3 linked regions of the Neodiprion lecontei genome follow. The protein of the gene in region 1 interacts with the protein of each later gene in a pairwise test. Links are inferred from orthologs where the notes say so. Each region holds a gene or a part of one and is shown on either strand. Other genes may lie near its edges. The genes, in order: DAZ-associated protein 2, UBX domain-containing protein 6 and CLK4-associating serine/arginine rich protein.

Region 1 (5,077 bases):
AATCTCGAGGTAATTTTAAATGCCAAATTGTACGTGTGTGTGTATATATATATATATATATTTTTATCACGAAACTTTAGACGCTGATTTATTCACGGTAAGATACAAGGGTGTGCCCGAAAAAATATAATCCGCTCGATAATTAATCGCAGCTAAGAAGAGTGTAATTGTTTGTTCTTGTTTTTTTTTTTTTTTTTTTTTTTTTTATTCAAGCTTTCGGTACCAATTCCAGATGGGTAAAAATGTCGATACGCACATGTATTCGATTTTTTTAATATTCGTCGTGACATCGAGTCAAATCAATTATCATCGTTTAACTGTTAAGTAAAATTATCACCTAATCATCAAGTAGGATTATCGTTAAACTGTCGAGTGGAATTTGCATAGAGTTTTATTAGTCACTTTCCTTCCGTTGAAGGTTAACGAACTGTAATGTACGAATACAGAACGTCAGAAGGATATGCAAATTGGGTTAATTTTCATTGGAATATATTGAAATCAGAACTAATTCGAGTCACACCCTCATTCGACCTTATAAGATGACATAAACGATGATTCAACGGTACTCCGTGGCAGTTATTTTTCTTCAGCTAGCTAATAAAGTTGAACATCTCGCGAAGAGAATCGATTACGATTGCCATCTTTTTTTTTTCTTTCACCTTGTCAAGAAGCTGCGTAAGTTTAACGAACCAAGGAATTCGCTCTGTTTGATTTGTGTCTAATAAAAATATTTCGTTGCACGCGTTTTTCGGTTTTATGAATTGAGCTTCTTTTCTTTTCTCTCCAAGTCTGAGCTTGCAGCGCTTTGAAATATCGAATACCGACTGATGGTCATTCTTTACAGTTTTTTCACAAAATTGTACACTATCCCGTCCTTTTCTTCAATTGCATTCTTTAAGAAGGATATGGGAAAAGCTGACTTTTTACTTTCCTTTCGCTGAACGTCTAACGATCACACGGTTTAAATGAAAGTATGGATGCAAAAAACCGTAAAACAATAGAAGAAAAAAAAGAAAACGCCAGGCATACCCTATAGGACCTTTTCCTCAGGACGAAAAGTATTGCTAGGAGAGACGAACCGAACTCCGTTGAAATATCCGGCGGTAGGTAGGTACCTGAAAATTCATAAAAAAAAAAAAAAAAAAAGATCGACCTCAACTTACTCCCGGGAGTCATTTGTCATGACTTTCACACCGATTTGTTTCTTCTTCTCTTGGGTGAAATTAAATTTCGTAACGAAGATGTTAACCATGCATCTTGTTGAGAGTGGTTTTATTATAATTTTTTTTTTTTTCAAACTGTAAAGAAACCACACCAGACGTTTCAATTAAAGATTCGGCAATCGGAATACAACTAAGGAATCTGTATTCTAGTTACAATTATTATCAATTCAAAGGCTTTCGAGTGTTAAAACATCATTTATTCAATCATTATTGAGTGTGAAGATACTTCGGTTGTCCCTATAATAATTTTAAATTGCATGAGACACCGGCGGGATGAAAAATGCCGAGATAACGACCGATTGCGCAGAATTGTGGGAACGTTTTCTCGCTCGACGTTGCGGTGAAATATTTCATGCTACCATCAGCCATATTTTGGACCGTAAGTCGTTACGCGAATATCGTGAAAACCGTTCTAAGGTCGTTTGGCTCGTATGTAGAGAACAATTTATCGTCATTGATATTTTTCAGTATTATTTTCAGAAATTTCAGAGTTACGGACGTTACAAAAAACCAAATTTTTTTTGCCATCAACGATTATAATGAAATAATTCTTAACTCAGGATATATTACGGATATAGAGAATGTAGTCCCTAAGTTACGAATTCTTGGATACAGAGAAACACCGTTTGACAAAAAACAGACATTTTCCAATGGCCGCGCGACTTTGAGAATTCTTAAAATAAGTGAAACATACGAAAATCAAGAATACGTTTCTGCGGACCGGAACTAAACACAATCAAACATATTCGTAAACAATATCCGAGGTTCCAATTTAGCATACAGAATACCCGATTTATTTTTATTTTTTTTTTTTATCTTTTTTTTTTTTAATTCCATTTTCATGATAAAACTCTTCAAGCGTAATGAAACAAGATGTGTAATTCGTATTTTTGTTCCATTTCGTCAGACAAAAGCGCAACGCTTGTTTTACATGTATTTAATGATGATATTGAGCTTGGAAGCTAGGCAACATAATATCAGCGTAAAGTTTTCACTCGACCGTTCGATTTGTGGACATGTTTTACGGATATTGTGAAATAACGATCGCGTAGAAACTGAGCGAAAGACGTTCCTCCGCGAATCATAACTCATAAAAGAGATGCGGGGTATACGTGGGTACATTTAATTTCTATCCAGGTTCTCTCCAAGGCCGGTGGCCATTTTGTATATTCCTACACACTAGAATCGCGTCGTCGGTAGGTCGGCCGGAGTATTGATCTACTTGGTGGGATGTGCATTGCAAGTTTTTCGAACGAATTTATGCTGCATCCCGATTCGTTCCGGACGCGGTTTTTATGACACGCTCAATCGATACGCGTAAGCCCGATCCGAATACGATTGATATTTACCGAGCGGGATTCGATTGCTTCAGTATTGAGCGGATTTTCCGCACCTAACAATCGCTCATTACTTACACCGAGTACGTTAATTATCCTTGGAGAGGAATGGACGTGCGTTAGGCTCGCTAATTTTCAACGATTCTCTTCCGTTTGTCGCGTCTACTTTTCACCTAATTTTCGAACGTTCCTTTTTTTTCCTCTCTGTCTCTTTCTCTCTTTCTCTCTCTTTCTCTATTTTTTTAGATCACATCGAAAATATTCCCTATCTATCTCATCTCTCTTTTTCTCTCTATTTCTTCTCGTATATTATAATATTGTTGAAAACGTAATAATCGTGAGGTAATTTCATTCGATATTATAGTGATATTTTGCTGGATAATTACCTTTTTTGTCAGTCATTATTGCTCAAACGGTATTTTTGCGCACGGATTATTTATTCAATCTAATAATTATTTTCGTTAAAATCACCAAATATTTCTACTTGTGTTTCGAGTTTAGAATACGAGAATATGGCTGCTTGACACTTGACACTTGAGACACACGCGCTACTCCACCTGACGGACGGACTACGACTTCAACGAACCAACTGCCTCGCACTCTACCCAAGATGTATAGATTGGCGACTCTGTGCTACCGGCTAGCGTCTAACTTTTGCGCCTATCAAATATCGTCTAACTATCGTAGTTCCAAAGTTTTTCGTTCTTTACGATTTGTCTTTAATTAGAGCTTAAAATGGTATTTAAATTAACAAAGAACTTCTGTCTCCCTATTTTCGCACACCCATATCAATGAGAAAATAATACTTTGCCATTTTGTGTCTTTAGGTTAAATTGAAAGAAATCATATTTCATCAATTTGCCTTGAAATAATTCGTTCGTATTTTATTTTCAGGTAAAATTTAGTACGTAATCTCACTGTAATATAATAATACTGTATTTTAGTGCATATCCTTCTGAGATTTTTGTTTTTATTTATACATATTCTGACGATGAAATTTGTAGAATTATTCGCGGGCAAATCGAATCGTTTGAATTCAGTTCTGCGCGCGTTGCTCATTGTTGCGCCCTCCGACGCTGCCGTACGGCTCGCTTAGAAACAGCTGTATCATGCATTTGCTGTTAATTTGAGTGGAGAAAAGTGAGGTTACGTTTCTCTTGTTCATCGTCAAGTATTACACATATCAAAAATCATGGCTCAAATTTTCGGTGAAATTGTTGAGCCGGAATCACGAGCCTTTTGGGACGACGACGAGCTCGATGCTTCGCAATTGTAATTATCCGTAGTCGATTTTAAACTATTCAACGCTAAAGAAAGTGTCCATTGATTAGACTGAACGTTCAGCAAAGACATGAAATATCTATCTATTTTATAGCCAGTATCAACTACGATGGTCCGGAGACAACGTGATGCCGTCGTCGATAAAGACTTTCCTTATTGTCGAAGGAAGCGTCGTATCTGGTATTCTAACTTTGTAGGATCTATGGATTTTAGTATCATTGTAATAGAATTACCGCTCTGCAGTACTCTAATGGGAAAGAAGAGTATTTTTTCGAAACCATCGTAATCGAGGTTTCTGTTTCAGACTTCACGAGAATGTGCAGCCTCGGCAGAGGCGAGAACGAAATATGCATTATAGAGCATGGAAGATTCAAAGCATCGAATATTTATAAAATCAACAACGATTTGTACACCTGTCTCGTCAGTCCGGATCTGGACGCGAAACACTCGACCGAATTTATTGCGACGGTAACTGAATTGTATTCAATTTATTTCATTGTCTGCAATCTGCTTAAAATTGTTCGTACTGATAATATCGTGATCGTTATTACTCAGTGACTTCATGATGTTCGAAAATTGACCGTTAATTCGGGAAACATGCAATCGACTTTCTCAAGATAGTTCGGAATTTGAATGATTGAAAAAAAATCGTACTGCGATTGCGCGCGATAATTTCAAATTGTGTTTTTCAGTTGACAGATTTTCTGCTGAACGCCGAGAAGATAATAACTCTCACATGCCAGCACGTTTCGTCGTACAAATCAGACGTCGCGCCGATTTTGCCGTCTTTTCTCCAATCGCTGTCCACCAAAAGCGGTAAATCGCCGTTGAATGACGTCGAACGTGTCAAACAACCCAATATAGTTCATGGAATTGCAGCTGGAGGTTTGTATTTGTAATATTATATCTTAAATGGCCAACCGTTTTTTGCCATCAGTTCCGTGTGGGAAAATTCATTTTCCTCAACCGATAAAATTATTCACATTCCAGTAATGTCGTATGCTGAAATATTCGAACTCTCTGCTGTGCTGTACGTACTTTACGTGGAAGAGTTTCTACTCGATTCGGAGACAGCTATGCCCTTGGTGAAATTGTTTGCTGCCATTCCAGGTAGTCTATTACACGATCCAGTCTTCAAGCAGAGTAGTTTTAGCAGCAGAGGTAATTTGTACATGTAGATCATAATGTCGTTTGTGCCTTCTTTGATAAACTTTGTAATAAAAATTATTATTTCCG
Region 2 (7,554 bases), on another chromosome or scaffold:
TGGCTGACCAGCCTGCTGTGGTCTGCGACGAAACAGTTTCGTTAATTCCCACCGAGGACGCTACCTATTCCTTGAGTCTGAGGTGGTTGCCTGTGACAAGGCGGACTTACGCGCTGATTATGATTTCAAGGTGCCTCGATATAGTATCGAACATGTGGAATAGAATTTGACATTGGCCCACTTCGTATTCATGCAGACCCATCAGTGGAAAAAGTTGAATAAAATTCTTTTCTACGCCGTTCTTACGAGTTGATATCGTGGGCAGTCTAATGATGGGTTGAAGAAAAGCGGTGTATAAATCTAGACCATTTGTAACAAGAGTATTCCTTGATGTTTCATATTTTTGATCCCAGCTTACATTAAACTGTAGTCTAATTGAATTACCACTCTTTTGAATGACGCTCAAGAAATTTTAGCCTGTCTAAATTCTCTGGTTCTACACGATTGACCGAACTGGGTAGGAGACAAAGTGTACAAGAAAAAATGATGAGCACATAGTACAGAAATGAAAATAAAACGTGATATTTATTCCAATCGTCTTTTTTTTTTTTCCTTTTTTAACAAGTATGGATTCAATTACAAAGAGAATATTTTGCTATCAATAGTGTACAATACCTGTATGTCCATAGTGTTGCATTTACCCCTGGCAATCATTCAGCAAAACATCCCGTTATTCGCATTATTAGGGGGGACATTTCTATTAAAAGGTATAATAAGACGTAAGCATGTCATAATTCGACGTCAGACAGCAGAGAATATTGTCTCCGTCTTTAATTGATCTATTCAGTTTCAAGTTTCTTTTTTCCCTTGCGTATTGATTTCAGTTTCATCGTCTTGTAGAATATCAAAAACAGAACCAAACCGTGTGTGAGACGGCGGAACGCGACGATGTCTACAATCAATCAGCACCGTGAGCACAATGGTCACCCATTAACTCATTCAAAATCGAAAATTTTGTTAATTTGTTGCATCGTTTTCTACCAATGTGTTAGAATTTGATTTTTCTATAGCTTGAACAATAACAAAGACTCCAAACTTCGCTTCGTGTGAAACTAGAGTGTCCGTGCTTACCATTGTCGAGTGGAAGGTGATGACGATAAAATCATAGCTCGACTAGGGTGAGGAGGCTTACGTGGACTGTATCAGGCAGATAATTTCTTCTTTGAGATATTCGGTGGGTCCCTTGGTATCTAAAATCTCCGTATCCCAGCTGAAATTCAGTATTGATGCGGGGACCAGTCTGTTGTCAACCAAGGTCTTTTCATAGTCTTCATTCCCGAGACGATGACCCGTCGGCGTTGTTAAAACGAACGGTATCTCGTCACTGATCAAATTCTCTCTGACAAATTCTACGACGTTCTCGACCCTTTCGTAAACCGCGAAGGTGCCTTGAAGCATTACCCCGTCCGGGAAACGCACCCGTATCAAGGCGTAACGGTATTTCTTCATTTCTCGCAATTCCTCTTTTTCCCGCATCGCCTTCGTACGGAGAATTTGACTCTTTGCTACCGCTTCAGACCTGTGCTATGAAATAAATTTTTGCCAATACGTGTCAACTGCTATATTTTCAAGCCAAAATAAGAAAAATAGTGGCGCACCTGAGCTGATGCTCCTTCTTAATCTCCTCCGGCGATATGGTGAAGAAAATTGGAGGTAATTCGTTTCTTTTCGCTGCCTGACTGGGCAGTAAGACTTGTAAGTTTCTGTCCAACTCAATTCGAACGGGCTCTGCCGTCCTCAGAGCATCAACCAGTATACCGACTTGCTCGATCGAAGATTTTTCCGGATTCCAAACCAGGAAGTCCTCTTCCTGTTCCTGATGCGCTAGTTTGACCATCTCAAACCCAGCGGCTTTAAACAGCTGCAAGGCACCCTCGACGGGCTTCACTTTGTCCTACACATTGAACAGGTATCGCTTAAATTCACGAAGAAATCATTCGATTCGGGTATCTTACATTGTTATTCCAACCCTTCTACACACCTGAAATACCCGATTGGACATTCGTATTTTCCAGTATTTCTCCTCCCCCGGATTATTGATGATATTTTCAAGGTACTTGCACATGGTTTCGACACACTGTTCAACCTTTTCTTTCCCGGCATTACAACTATGAATGATGAGGCAGGCGGTGAGTCCGGGCTCCTCGTAATTGAGCTGCTCGTAAAGGAACTGTCGAATCTTGCTCTTCCACTCGTCCCTGGTTAATATTTCGTCAGAAATAATCGGACAGCGAAAATAAACCCCGCGTACAGCGAGCAGCGGGTTTGCCTCGACCTCCTGTGGGATTTTCTGCTCCTTTGGCAGCGCGATTTCCTTTGCCTCATTACTCGCCGCTTTTCTCTCCGCCTCCAGTTCTCGTTTGACTTGTGCCTGGATAGCCGCGTACGATCTGCGAATAAGCAACAAGTGAGCAAAATTTTGGTAAACTGTTCATCCATCGTGATTAATGATCATGTAGGTATACTAGGAACGAAATCGAAATCCCTGGCCGAACTTACGTGTTGAACTTTGTCGGGTCTGGCCTCTTCGACTCGAGCCTCGCCAGGGCAGCTTGTCCTGCAATTTTAGCTTCTGTGGTTGGTTCCGCCCGCGTCACTGGCTTCACTGTTTCGTTAGAGTTCGATTTTGATGAACTCGTCGATTCGGTTAATCTGCAAACACGGAAAAGAAGAATATAATCTTAGTTTTCTTTGTAGTTGTGCAGTTCAAAAACTTCAAAACGCTTAAATGCCTGTCGAATAGAAAAAAAAAAAAAAAATTTCGGAGTGACTGACAGCTCTCTGACTAATTTTTGCAACAGTGAATACGTATCACACGTTTAATACTAACTTGTACCCCTTTCCAGCCATCTTAAATTTGGCATCGGATTTCTTTTTCTGGAAAAATGCTTTGATCTTGTCCGCCATGTTAGTTGTTTTCGGTTGGCACTCGATAAAGAGTTAGCTGGTGAATGATTTTCTAAACCCGCGGGGAATGCTCCTTGGGTAACTTCAATCGGGAGACGCTCTTCTTCAGTTCCTCAACGGCAGCAGAAGTCGCTGAAAGTTACAAATTTTCATTAACACACTCCAACTACCAATAAGGTGAAAAGTAATCTATGAGTACACATACCATATAGTCAGCTGTGTATTAATACATGCGATAAGAAAAAGCAGTGTACGAATTTAAAATGGGTCAAATATACACCTGGCTCTGCGAGGATGGCGTCAAGAGTTTTCGGAATCTCTAGACACATGGCTACACAGTCTTAACTGCATCATTTCTGTGGGTGTATAATTACATACTATACTTGTCGTTAGTCGAGAACTTTATGCCACCCGTGAAACAGAAGCAGATAATATGATCTACAGGAAAATACACCAAATTTGGAAATGTTTTGCATACTTGGATCTGGTACTATGTCTAATTTGAATTGCTACAATTTTTATGACTCTTTACAAAAGTTGTCTTCACGAATACTGAACGTATTTAAATTATATGAAATATTTCTTCATAAAAACTTTTCTGTTTCAGTAGAGACCGTGATGATACAATGAGTTTGGGGACATTGTAAGCTACCGCTGGCCGTTACGTTTAACCTACTGTTTTCAAATATGTCCAAGCATGACAGATATACGCCTATATTACCGTTGACCGCTGCTTTAGAATCCATAAGTCCTACTACGCGCATGTACATACATTGTATAGGCCCTCTACTGATTCAATTACTGCCGCAATTGATTACTCTTTAAATACCTAAAATATCCTTTCCTCTATTTTTACTCACGTTGAATTTCCAGTCGTTTACAAGATGTGTCGCATTCATTAAAACAGATGGATGATCATTTTCATTATTATGAACATTGTTATCTTTACAAAATTATCATTTCAAGTGGGGAACGAAAGTTAGACGAGAAAAGAAATCGATTTTTTCACACAGATATGTTAAGAATTTCAAGGTCGTTATAATATATACAGTGCAATGTACACCCAAGAGTACGACTATAACGGAAAGTTTTCCGCGAAGCTCAACCCCGTACGTCGTCCAAACAATCGATGAATTCTGCAGTCATTAATTAGGATGAATGCTTCAAGATTACTGCTTTCCATTTTATCGTGCACCATTATCAGTGCATCGTCTGTATAATTGTGACGCACAGAAGACAAGGAAGCTCAAGATAAGAATGTGCAAAAGTACGAAACAAACATTCTATTCAAACCGTTTTTCATGTGAAAATATTCAGATCAAGACTTATACAGGACAGTAATTAGTGTATTATATTCCTATAACTAGTTTACAACATAAATAATACTATATTCTCACAACTTCAAATAATGGAGAAAATGCATGCACAGAACTTTCCCTGCCACATGTATATTACCTACACCAGTGCAGTGAATGACTGTTAACTCGTCATACGTGTCCTGCACTATCGCTATCAATTTTGTGGTATTCTATGAAACCAAATTTAGTATGAAAAATAACATTTGTCGAGTGAGTAGGTTTTCAGAGATAATATGTTTGTGAGGTAGACAATGTTAGGTACAATCGTTTCGCTTCCTCGTCTTGAAGTAAAACCTGAATAAGTAGTTGTAATCCACACGTATGATCAAATAACGCTATGCACGTTGTATTGTTATACATTATAGCAACAACAAATACGTACATATGTAGAGGTGAAGGTCACATCTTGCATACAGTGCAAGCGTCTGGTAGCATTGCGTAAATGCAGTGCATAAATGTAATTCGTAAGATGATCCCGAAATGAAACGACCGAAACGATTCTGGTCTTGTTAGGAGGGTATACTTATCTTACCTTCCGTGACAATTACAATTTGCATTTGATTGACGTGCTTTATAACTAAAGTATTCGAAAACGATTTTATTCCAGATATTTTTTTCACTCTGCCAAGTTCTTCGGTGAAAAGAAAATTGATTTAGTGTGCCTACTCGAAAGGATAAAATTGAACGGCAATATGAACACGCTGAAGTTCGCAAATTTCAGCATAAATACGTTGCAGCGTGACCGAGCTTGTTTTTAAATTAAAAAATGGAATGCCCTCTATATACAACACAAATCCAGACTAATGACACTGGATGATTGATCACGGCGCACATTAATTAAAATGTGAAACTAAGTGTAAAAGCATCGGCGACCGTTACCTGCGAGGTTACTTAAGACACAACAGATATACCTGAACGCAGGTGCAGGGAACCAGTCTGACCAGACTACTGCAATTCGTAATGCGTGGATCAACGAGGTTGAAGTTAGCAACGTTATCGTGACGAAACGTTGGGGAAAAAATGCCTATTTTCGTAACTTTACAACACTGATTATAAAAAAACTGAGATTTCGAAAAATGAATGTTTTGTTTTATTACCGTTTAATGAATTTCCGAAACTTCCAAAATCGTGAAATAACGGTTTTCCCTCGGCATGAATCGTCACGATAACGTTGCTAACTTCAATATGATATAGATGATAGTTACGTTTAGTTGATCCCTGGTGTGACGCAATGCCACGAGTCTGCCAGTACGCAAGTATGCATATACGCGTGAGAAGAGAAAAGGTGAAAAGAAAACGTGACCAAATCTGTCAAATCTGTTTTTCCTGGCTGACCTGGTTTCATGAACCGATCGGATATCCGATCGCCGTAAACGTGCCAAGCAACGTATATGAGGGCGACGTTGCTGACGAGGATTAAGGCGAAGAGTTTGAAGAGCTGGAGCTGAAACTCGTCGAAGGCGAGCCAGGCGGAAAACTCTTGGAAAAATTCAAGTAGCGTCTGGTGTTGTTGGCCGTATGCGTCGTTTTCGTTACTCGCCGATGTGCCCGTCGAGTTTGAGGTTAGCAAGCCGAGTGTCGCGAGTACGAAGCTGGCCAAGTCGCAGGCGATTGTATTGATTTCGTCCAAGAGTGAACCGCTCCCAGGAGCCGAGTCCTCGCATAAGCTGATCATCACACGCGTCACCTGATCATCCCCTTTCGTTCTCCTTTTTCTATTTTCAATTTTACTCTCCTTTTACTCCTCCTCAAACCCTCCGAGTTTCCTTGACACACCGACGATTTTTATAATCCCGACCGTACGGAACGGGAATTCGGCCGCACGTGACTTTCAATTCGTTCACGCCTATCCACGGTGGACTCTTTACCATGACTGAACACTTACCGACAACACGAGCGGCGTCCTATCCCCCCTCCCCCAGAAAACTCTCCGACACCACTGACATCTAACAGCTCTCGATCTAACGATGCTGTCTTCGTTCAGCGAAGTTCCCGGTTCCGTTACGACCAGTCGGTAACCGACGGATCGTCATCCGACAGTTTTTTATTTACCTCGAACAGGATGAATACCTCGGATTGGATTTGACAATTGGAAGTCAGGTTGACCACGGCAGTGCCGATGATGACAGCAAAACGTTACGAAATCATTTGCCCCCAGATAGCGGGTTCGAGTTATTGGTTACCCGTTTGAAGTTTAATTCAAATAAATCGGACGATATTGGAACGACTTTTCTCCCCATTTTTACTGATACTATACTAAAACTGATGTAAAAGAAGAAATATTACAAATGGCTGAATAACTATTGGAGTACCTTGATATATTTCGAATTCCGAAGACCTCGGATTAAAAGGAAATTGAACAGAATCGCGACTAATCGATTAGACTAATCTATATTGCGGTTTTTTTAAATGAATATTTGGGTTGATACAATGATTTCGAATTGATCTGAAAAAAAATTGAAAATTACAGTTATTCGGAACTTTTAGCGTCAGAAAGGGAGAAAGAAATGAAGGTTTAAACCCATGGTTGAGCCTCGCGTTGTAATATAAGATGACACATCTCACCAAATTTTAATTAGAACACACGGCGCAGCGTAAGAGGAGTAATGGGATAGGAGAATAACTTGTATAGAAATTTTCTTACGAAATAATGCATTTTATACAGTTTGCATTACGATATAAGTATATCGATTATAGGTATTAACGTATAAACTTGAATTAAGATTAATAAATATCATGAACTACGGTACAAACGGTGATGTATTAACATTGGATTAAAATCACACGTGATAATACTACGAATATGATTACGATTAATAATACGTTTTGTTTCCTATAATACTCCTCGAAACGAGCCGATCACACTCTTCGTAATTAGCTGCCAATTGCATTTAGTGCGTGATTCAGCGTTCATTCGGCCATCGCGTAACGCCTACTAATCTTGCAAGAAGATTTCTGAGGTGACAAACGGAATTTCTTTAGAAATCACACGTGAAGCCTACAGCGTTTCACGACGAGAATGTTTAGTACGTTTGTAAGTATTTACGGCAAGACCGCGTTTTCAATCGTTTTTAACGTGAAAACTTGCGGTAGCACAATAGGCGATAAGCCGATGGCTCGTGGCCAATTTGGTCGAATATCCCACAAGAAAGTACACGAAGGATAAGGCAAAGCGAAATGAAAAACGATCGCCTTTGTCCGAATATTTCGTAACCATGGAAATTCACCCGAATGCCCCAAGTTGACATCAAGAGTGCTGAAGGAGTAATAATGAGTGAACCTCGGAATC
Region 3 (8,078 bases), on another chromosome or scaffold:
AATTAATTAATAATATAATAAATTTTATTAGCGCATTGATAGCTACTGAATATGTGCTTGCGCGAAAAATGAATCGAAATAATTCGATGTAAACATGACAAGTTTGAAATATATTAGATAAAACATATTTACAATTGCCATCAAATATTATAAAAGTGTTTTACACACCGAGCACAAATCCTCTTCCTCCTCGTCCATCTTGTTCTCCTCGTCTTCCTCGTTCTCCTCCTCGTTCACCTCTGACCGCCACCAACCACCGCCAACCACCTCCAACAACCACCGATAAACACCACGGATATACCTGGAATAGTAATAAATATCTTCAGTATAAGAACGTATCAAAAATATCGCGTGAGTAATAGTATAATCAATTAACCAATTTATAACATCATGAATTCTATTAGCGCATTCATAGCTACTGAATTTGTCCTTGCGCGAAAAATGAATTGAAATACTTTGTTTTAACATGACAAGTTTAAAAAATTTTACATCAAATATAATTACAATTCCTAGTCAAGGACCTGGACAGCCACAACTACGGAGCGCTTTTCCTGGATGTCAAAATCCACCAGGTGAAGGACCTGGATAGCCAGAACTACGGAAAATTAGTACTGAAGGTCATAAGTCACTAGCTCAGGGACCTGGACAGCCAGAACTACGGAGCGCTCGTTCTGGAAATCGAATTTCCCCAGGTAGCGGGCCTGGAGCACAGAAACTACGGAGCGCTTGTCCTGGAAGTCAAGTTCCACCAGGTAGCAGACCCGGAGCGCAGGATCGAGAAGGTAGAGAACCCGGTACTCGAAATCTGCAGAGCGCGATTCTCACCCGTCCGCTCTACTGCGCGGCTGTTTCCAGACTGAGGAATTCTGCTAGCCGATTTCAAATCGATTACGTCAAGAGAAAAAAAAAATTGGGTGACGTGACTTTCTGAACATCCGACATCCAAACTTTGGTTTGGAACTTTAGTACTATGTATGATGATGTATGATGTATGATGTACGATGTATGATGTATGATGATGTGATATGATGTATAATGATTTTAGTTTTCACATTTCATACAAGAAATACGCACTTTATCTCCCCTGCCGATTCCAGACTCAAGCGGCCAGGCCCTTCGATGGTCCGCCGTTGACTGAAGATATATCCTTCAGTTAACGGGTCGGTTAATAACGCTGCCGTTCTGCGACAGTTGAATGATGAAAAATTTTACTCCTACCTTTCAAATGTGTGTTAAAATACGCTCGATGTTCTAAGAAGCTTCGTTCATTCTCTCTCTATCATCTTTTTAGCTCCCTAAATCACGACACTGCGTTAAATACTGTCTCATATACGGTGAATCCATTTCATCTCCTTCAAAATTAGCGCACTCGTGATGTATTACACTTACTCCGAATTTTTTTCCATCCGAATACTTACTTTCCGAAAAACAATTCTGCTTCTCTACCTAACGTAGATACTTTACTCTCGACTAGCTAGAACAGCGTTTCGATTATATTCCTACGAAAATTCAAGATCGAGAGAGCAAATGAAAAGTTGTTGGAATAATTTTGAATATTAATGTTATGGGATACATCGAGCGCGTGTCGAATAGAATCCCATTTTGAAATGAATAATTTTTCTTCTTTCACATTATAGCCATATTATTGTAGATAATCTAGTTTGTCTCCGGAAAATTATAAAATTTATAGTATGCATCACGTAATCAGCGCAGTCCCAACACGCTGTGAGCAACGCACAAAAAGGTAAAGCCGAAAAACAAAGAATTTTATCCATTTGAGCATTCTGATTAGTTTGTGAAGTATAGTCAACTAATCAGAATGCTTGAATGGTGGGAAATGTGAAAAGTGAAATTACAGATTACAGAAATCAGACGGTAATGAGAAAATCTACCTTACCCAGGACATGGACAAATGGAGGAGCCGGAAAGAGACCACCAATGATCGTGCTTCATCAGCCATGGATTCCGGTGGATTCCGGTAAGTAAACCATCATGGCGGGGAAGCGCAAGAAGTGAGTGAGCGAGTTGCAGACTTTCAATTATTTCGTGAAATGTTTGAGTAAATGAAAGTATTGTGGTATCCCGAGTGACAAAGGCTACTCATCGCATCCAAAATGAGTTTTTCCGTGAAAAAAACTGGCGGACGGATGTGGCACGAGGCACGGAAGCAGGAGAAGAAGATTCGTGGAATGTTGGTTGACTACCGTCGACGGGCGGAACGTCGCCGGGATTATTATGAAAAAATTGTAAGATATTTTACTCACGGGTGAAACCACCACTTTTTCAACCTATGTAAACATATTTCCAAGTATTTCTGAATTAATTCTCGCAGTTTTGTAGCAGTCTGCAATTTTTTCATCGCTTCGCATAATCGTATGGCCTATTCACAGATTGTAAACAATTTTATTCACAATTTGATTATATCAAAGAATATGATAGATTCTTCCTTGTCATGCGGCTTGACCTGAGCTTTCCAATTTCGATTTATCTAATGGAAATTTACAGACATTGTCTCTTGCATACATGCAGTCTTGACAGATTTCTGACAAAATACTCTCTTGATTCATACGAACCAAAAATTATTATCAGCTTGTTAGTTTCGAATAATGTAATTTCTTACTTTTGGGTTTTATGTCATAAGAAAAGCCATTCGTTTGTGACATACAGTGGATCCACACTGTTATTTTTCTGACTTGCAACGCAAGATTAACGCAACATTTTTTACTCTCAGAAATCAGATCCCACTCAGTTTCTGCAATTACATGGTAGGCCATGCAAGATTCACCTTGATCCAGCTGTGGCAGCTGCCGGTGCTAGCCCTGCTAACATGTAAGTGAAACATAATTGTTTATTTTCCATCCATTTTTCTAAGTTTAGCATGTTTTAAGAAATTTATCGTTGAATGGCACTTGAATGTGAGAATCCTCATCTCACATTTATCTGAAATTCGTTGTATATTGATTAATTCACAGGATGCCGTGGCAAGGGAATGACGAAAATCTAATTGACCGTTTTGATGTCAGAGCGCATCTAGATTGGATTCCAGAAGCTCCTGATACTATAGATGTTGACATTGCGCTAACCAGTGAAGATAGGCATATCAATTATGAACGTTATCGTATAATCGTTCAAAACGAATTTCTTGGAGGTTTGGATTCATCGATTCTAACATTTATTTGAATTCTGCTACAAAGCTAAGTACTGGTTGACTGTCTGAGAATAACATGCTCTTCATTTTGTTTATAGTAACAGAGGAAAAATTTCTACATCAAATTCACATAGAGGAACAGTTTGGTTCTGCCACCAAGCCCGATGCAGCTAAAGATAAAAAGAAATCAAATGCCAATGCTGCTATCGGATATAACTATGAGACAGAAGAACCCATTTCAGATCCAATCAAGCCAGTAGAAACCATCGGTGTAGAGGATAAACCAGAAGACGAAGATAGTGATATTGATTTAGGTAAGTTGCATAACCCATAAGTTGACGAACTTCATCAGCTCACTGTTGACCTGGAAATAAATTAATTAATAAATATCAAGGACCGATTATTTTATGCAGAATGTGTGAATTAATTGGATTTGATGTACCTTTAGACATTTGTGTGGATGTATCGCAAATAGAACCATCGCAAGCCCATGAAATGAATCAGGTAGCTCAAAAGTATGGCCTGCTTGGTGCTGACTACTTCAGTTTCTTGACACAAGATGTCGAAGAAGCAGAAACACTACGGCAGGCTCGCAAGCAAGAGGAAGAGAAGGCCATGTATTCGGTTTGTTTCAGTGGCTTACTTATTGTTAGAACTGTATGATTAACGGGTATTTATTTGGAAAATTATTCGAAAAGCAATAGATACTGTCCGCAAACCTTGCCAACACCTTGTTTGAATTTCGTAATTTATATGTTACCAGGGTCGACGATCGAGGAGAGAAAGACGGGCGTTTCGGGAAAAGAAAATGATTGGTCGAGTCATGAGTCCACCAAGGTAATTACCAAGATTTATTTCACATCTAACGTATTGTAAGATTTGGTCATTGGGCCATACATTAATTTAACCCCCTCTTTTTCTTGTGGTAATTTTCTATCAACTCAGAAAATTGTTCTGTCAGATACTAATTAAAACCAAGGGAAGACCTACAGCATTGAAACTGTATTGTCTTGATACTTTGTCTTCATTTCAGAAAAATTGCCACTAGTCTGAATAATTGAGGCTACAGAACAGCTTGAAATCCTTTTAAATGTATAAATAATTTTTTATACACTCTACATTTTGTATAGTCACAATATTTGTCAATAAAATTTGATAAAAAGAGGTTGACCATCATTATTTTAAATGTCGCGTGGTTAAGATCTTTCTCGTAACCATTTAAAACAATCTATGATTCGTAGTTCAATAATGCATGACAAAGTCAGAATATCGATTAAAATTATTTTGCGAACAATGAATGCATTACTATAGCAATTTTTGTGAGTTCTACCTTGAAAAATGAATTAGCACAAGTAAAGTTTTTATTGCTAAATACATAACGGTGTGCGGCAACTTGACTAGAGTTTAAGCATTTTACTTCAATCGATTTACCAGTGAAATTCTTATGACAAGTTCAATACCATAATAACAAAAAATGTCCTAGTTACGCAGCCAGAGAGAGCCCGGAATACAATCCTTATAGAAAATCATCTTCGAAGTCCCGCTCAAGATCTGCTTCTCCAATCAATGCTGGACAAATTACCTACATCACAAGCTTTGGTGGAGAAGAAGAAGCACCTGGTAGTTCGTCCCAGATTACTACAACAAATATAAAAAAAGTTACTTATTCTCATTTGAAGAGAAGGCGATCAGAAAGTCCCGTCTTCACGGACAGAACGATTTCCCGAAGAATTTCGAAATCCAGATCACGAAGTACTTCCAGATCGTTAACTAGATCAAAATCATACAGGTCGCGTGACAGGAGAAGAAGTAACTCACATTCTAGGTAAGTTGAGGCTTGACCGACAAGTCCTTACCAACATATTATCCTTTATTAACTTGTATCTGAATAAAGTCGTATGCGTAAACGCGTTTAATTACATATGTATCTCTTAGATTGAGAAGCACAGGTTCCAGATCAACCAGACATGCAAAATCTAGAACCCGAAGTCGCTCGAGACACAGACATTCAGGAAGTAGATTACAACAACGCTCACGTACCCGAAGTGTATCAAGATCAAGTTCAAAATCAAGGTCTAGGTCGCGTTCGAGGTCTAGATCTAGATCTAGATCACGGTCACGTCAAAGAAGGTTACGGTCTTCCTCGCGCAGTAGTTCTTCAATTTCGAAATCAAAGTCGCGATCCAGATCACGAAACAGGAGTCGGTCCAAAGAGAGTTATCGCAGAAGACGTTATTCTCAATCAAGATCAAGAAGTCGTTCCAACACAAGGCGATCCAAAAGTGTTGACAACAAAACACCTGCTTTACCTAGGTGCAAAAACCAAATTACTGTTCTTACTAATTTATGAGGCTCATTCCATATGTTTTAAATTGTGTATTGCTTATAGATATTATGGTCGGAGAGGCAAGTCTTCCAGTTTAGAGTTGGAATTGTCTGATAACGATGAAAAAAGTATTCCACCGGCGCCTAAGCCTCCGATAATCAGCGCAAGCGTGTAAGAACACCTAACTAAATCATTAATCGCGTACTGTTCTCAAATAATTAATACTTTGGTCTTAATTGAGTATATCTGTTCGATTTCTAACTTCGAAGGCTTAATCATTGTATAAAATTGAACAAAACATGATTTTCTTATAGATTTTGTAAAACTTAAACCAAGGTAAGGCGAACAAAGTTTTTAACAAAATTCTCTCTTGTTTCAGGAACAAGCCAAAAGCAGGGTTAAGTACATATTCTGGTGGCGGATACAAAGTCAGTAAGAACCATAACGCTTCCTTAGTCACTTAATACACAAAACAAAAAGAATAAATATATTTATTCGGTTTCTACTATCGCCTAACCAGACGTTTTAAACTTTATGAATTTGTTCTATGGAGTTGCAAATAATAGAAAACGATTTTTGCAATTCAATAGAGTAATTATTTAGCTTGAACAAATCTTTGAGTTGCTGTGATAATTGAGTTGAAGACATGCTGGAGACAGTACCCGTACACACAAATACAACACGATCATGTTCTTTGACCAAGGCGACATCTTACTACTAATGTTCTCGTTACGCGCGGCTTAATAAGATAATTATAGATACTTGTCTCTCTAATGACAGATCCAAACTTACAGATATTTTTAACGTCAAGTTTACTAACAATACGTTCACACATGAAGATAATTGAATTGATTACAATTCAATTCAAGTCTGTGTGTCAGACGAATGAATTTAGTTTTAGAATTTTATTTACATTTTTCTTTTGCTAAATATCAATCAGAACGGCATGATTAGACTAATTATTTAATATTTGCACCAAAGAATTGAATAGTTCGTAATATTACCAATTCTATCATTTGCCCGTATTTGCATTTACGTTCTAGATAAATGTTCACGGTTGCTTCAGGTTTTTGATAACGGACAATTTTATTTTCTCTCCGCTCCCTCATTCAATAGTTCAATGTTTTTTAGAATCTTTAGTTTATTAAATTTCTAATTTGTTCCAAGTTGATGAAACCTTTGGAATAAATCAGAATTCGGAAGTGTGTTTGTGTGGAGCTAAGTACAAGCACCTCGCACATGTAAGGTAACTTCTCAAGTACATTAAACTATCAAAAGGAGGGTTCAGAAAGAATTTCAGCAGAAGGAATCTCAAGTTGTAGAAAATCAATAAAATATTCCCTACACAATTCCTAACTATCGCGTCAATAATATAAATAAGAAATTTCGATAAGTTTCGTTACGGCTCTGTTAAACTACTTTGCGGCATATTTCAATTGAAGAATTTTTAGGTGAAATGGTAATTGGTAGCCTATACACTTTGCGCAACTACACACTCCAGAAATGTTAACAAATCAACACTTCTTCATTGGTGAACATTGAAGAACTAACGATCTTCAATTTTATTTTGTCCAGATTCTTGGTAACAGTGACATTTTCCATGTTTGATCCTTTAGTAGTTATCGTTATTGAGTTTATGCTTGGGTTAAAATCATTTTCCTTCAATGACACAGTGTATCTGACTAAAGTAATTTTAGAACATTTATATATCACTGATTTCATAATCGACTATTTTTTAAGAAATTAATATTGCAGTCTTCAAAAACCACACCTCAAGAGCGGCTTAAGAAGAAAATGCAAGCACTGCTTAACAGGCAATGTAAATAATAATAATTACCAAACCTAAGCCAGTTTAATATCGTAAATGTACTGGAAGTATGTTGACCTTTTTACTTACAGATAAAGCAGATAAAAAAGCTGAGCAGCTACGAATTGAGAAAATGGAGCAGCAAAGGCAGGATCGTGAAGATGAGATTCGAGAGATGTCCTTAAAGCTACGTCGAAGGTCCTTATGTCAAATTTCTTCTGAAACAATTATGGCTACTCATTAATAACATTAAATTATATTTTTATTTTTAGGCAAAGAGAGTTGAGGCATAAATATGAAGGGCATACTTCTGACAGTAATTCCTCAAATTCGTGCAGTCCGAGTCCAAATCGTAGCCCCAGACTCCAAGTGATCCGGAGAGAAAGAAGAGACAGAGACATTAGAGATATTGATATTGGAAGTGACCGGGATAGGGACAGGGACAGGGACAGGGAGAGGGAGCGGGAGAGAGAGAGGGAGAGAGAAAGGGAGAGGGAGAGGGATAGGGATAGGGATAGAGACCGGGAAAGAGAGAGAGAGAGGGACAGGGAACGGGAAAGGGAAAGAGACAGACGTGATGATAGGAACAAAGACAGGCATGATTCGCGAAGAAGGCACAAGGAATCTCCAAGGCCAACTTCCAGTCCTAGGAATAATCGGTAAAATCTAAATTCATACTGATCATTATTTTTACATTTAATTTTTTGATGTCGATCAACGCAACAAACGAAATTCGTTTTGAGAACTAAGAACAATATCATTAGCGAACAGATAGAACTATTCCTCTAATTTCCGTA

What was found.
Region 2: the proteins of DAZ-associated protein 2 (region 1) and UBX domain-containing protein 6 interact in binary tests that used the Homo sapiens proteins (3 or more experiments, as listed by UniProt). The link is inferred for Neodiprion lecontei from reciprocal best matches to the Homo sapiens genes DAZAP2 and UBXN6.
Region 3: the proteins of DAZ-associated protein 2 (region 1) and CLK4-associating serine/arginine rich protein interact in a two-hybrid assay, tested with the Homo sapiens proteins (2 studies listed by BioGRID and IntAct). The link is inferred for Neodiprion lecontei from reciprocal best matches to the Homo sapiens genes DAZAP2 and CLASRP.

Annotation. Positions count from the first base shown.
Region 1 is NC_060264.1:32,150,318-32,155,394, reverse strand, and holds the start of DAZ-associated protein 2, read right to left. Parts: upstream 3,145-5,077; 5' UTR 2,963-3,144; coding exon 2,947-2,962; intron 1-2,946. Other genes in the region: uncharacterized protein LOC107217142, read left to right, coding at 3,753-3,832, 3,936-4,021, 4,146-4,309, 4,534-4,726, 4,832-5,002. UniProt on the Homo sapiens protein: In unstressed cells, promotes SIAH1-mediated polyubiquitination and degradation of the serine/threonine-protein kinase HIPK2, probably by acting as a loading factor that potentiates complex formation between HIPK2 and ubiquitin ligase SIAH1.
Region 2 is NC_060260.1:40,958,899-40,966,452, forward strand, and holds UBX domain-containing protein 6, read right to left. Parts: upstream 5,610-7,554; 5' UTR 5,471-5,609; intron 5,096-5,470; exon of another isoform or gene 3,768-5,095; intron 3,706-3,767; exon of another isoform or gene 3,515-3,705; intron 3,040-3,514; 5' UTR 2,908-3,039; coding exon 2,831-2,907; intron 2,653-2,830; coding exon 2,500-2,652; intron 2,391-2,499; coding exon 1,982-2,390; intron 1,895-1,981; coding exon 1,599-1,894; intron 1,520-1,598; coding exon 1,129-1,519; 3' UTR 507-1,128; downstream 1-506. UniProt on the Homo sapiens protein: May negatively regulate the ATPase activity of VCP, an ATP-driven segregase that associates with different cofactors to control a wide variety of cellular processes.
Region 3 is NC_060265.1:19,892,403-19,900,480, reverse strand, and holds the start of CLK4-associating serine/arginine rich protein, read left to right. Parts: upstream 1-1,970; 5' UTR 1,971-2,114; coding exon 2,115-2,246; intron 2,247-2,731; coding exon 2,732-2,829; intron 2,830-2,972; coding exon 2,973-3,148; intron 3,149-3,246; coding exon 3,247-3,462; intron 3,463-3,596; coding exon 3,597-3,772; intron 3,773-3,911; coding exon 3,912-3,985; intron 3,986-4,631; coding exon 4,632-4,973; intron 4,974-5,083; coding exon 5,084-5,461; intron 5,462-5,537; coding exon 5,538-5,645; intron 5,646-5,853; coding exon 5,854-5,902; intron 5,903-7,229; coding exon 7,230-7,293; intron 7,294-7,373; coding exon 7,374-7,479; intron 7,480-7,553; coding exon 7,554-7,940; intron 7,941-8,078. UniProt on the Homo sapiens protein: Probably functions as an alternative splicing regulator. May regulate the mRNA splicing of genes such as CLK1. May act by regulating members of the CLK kinase family.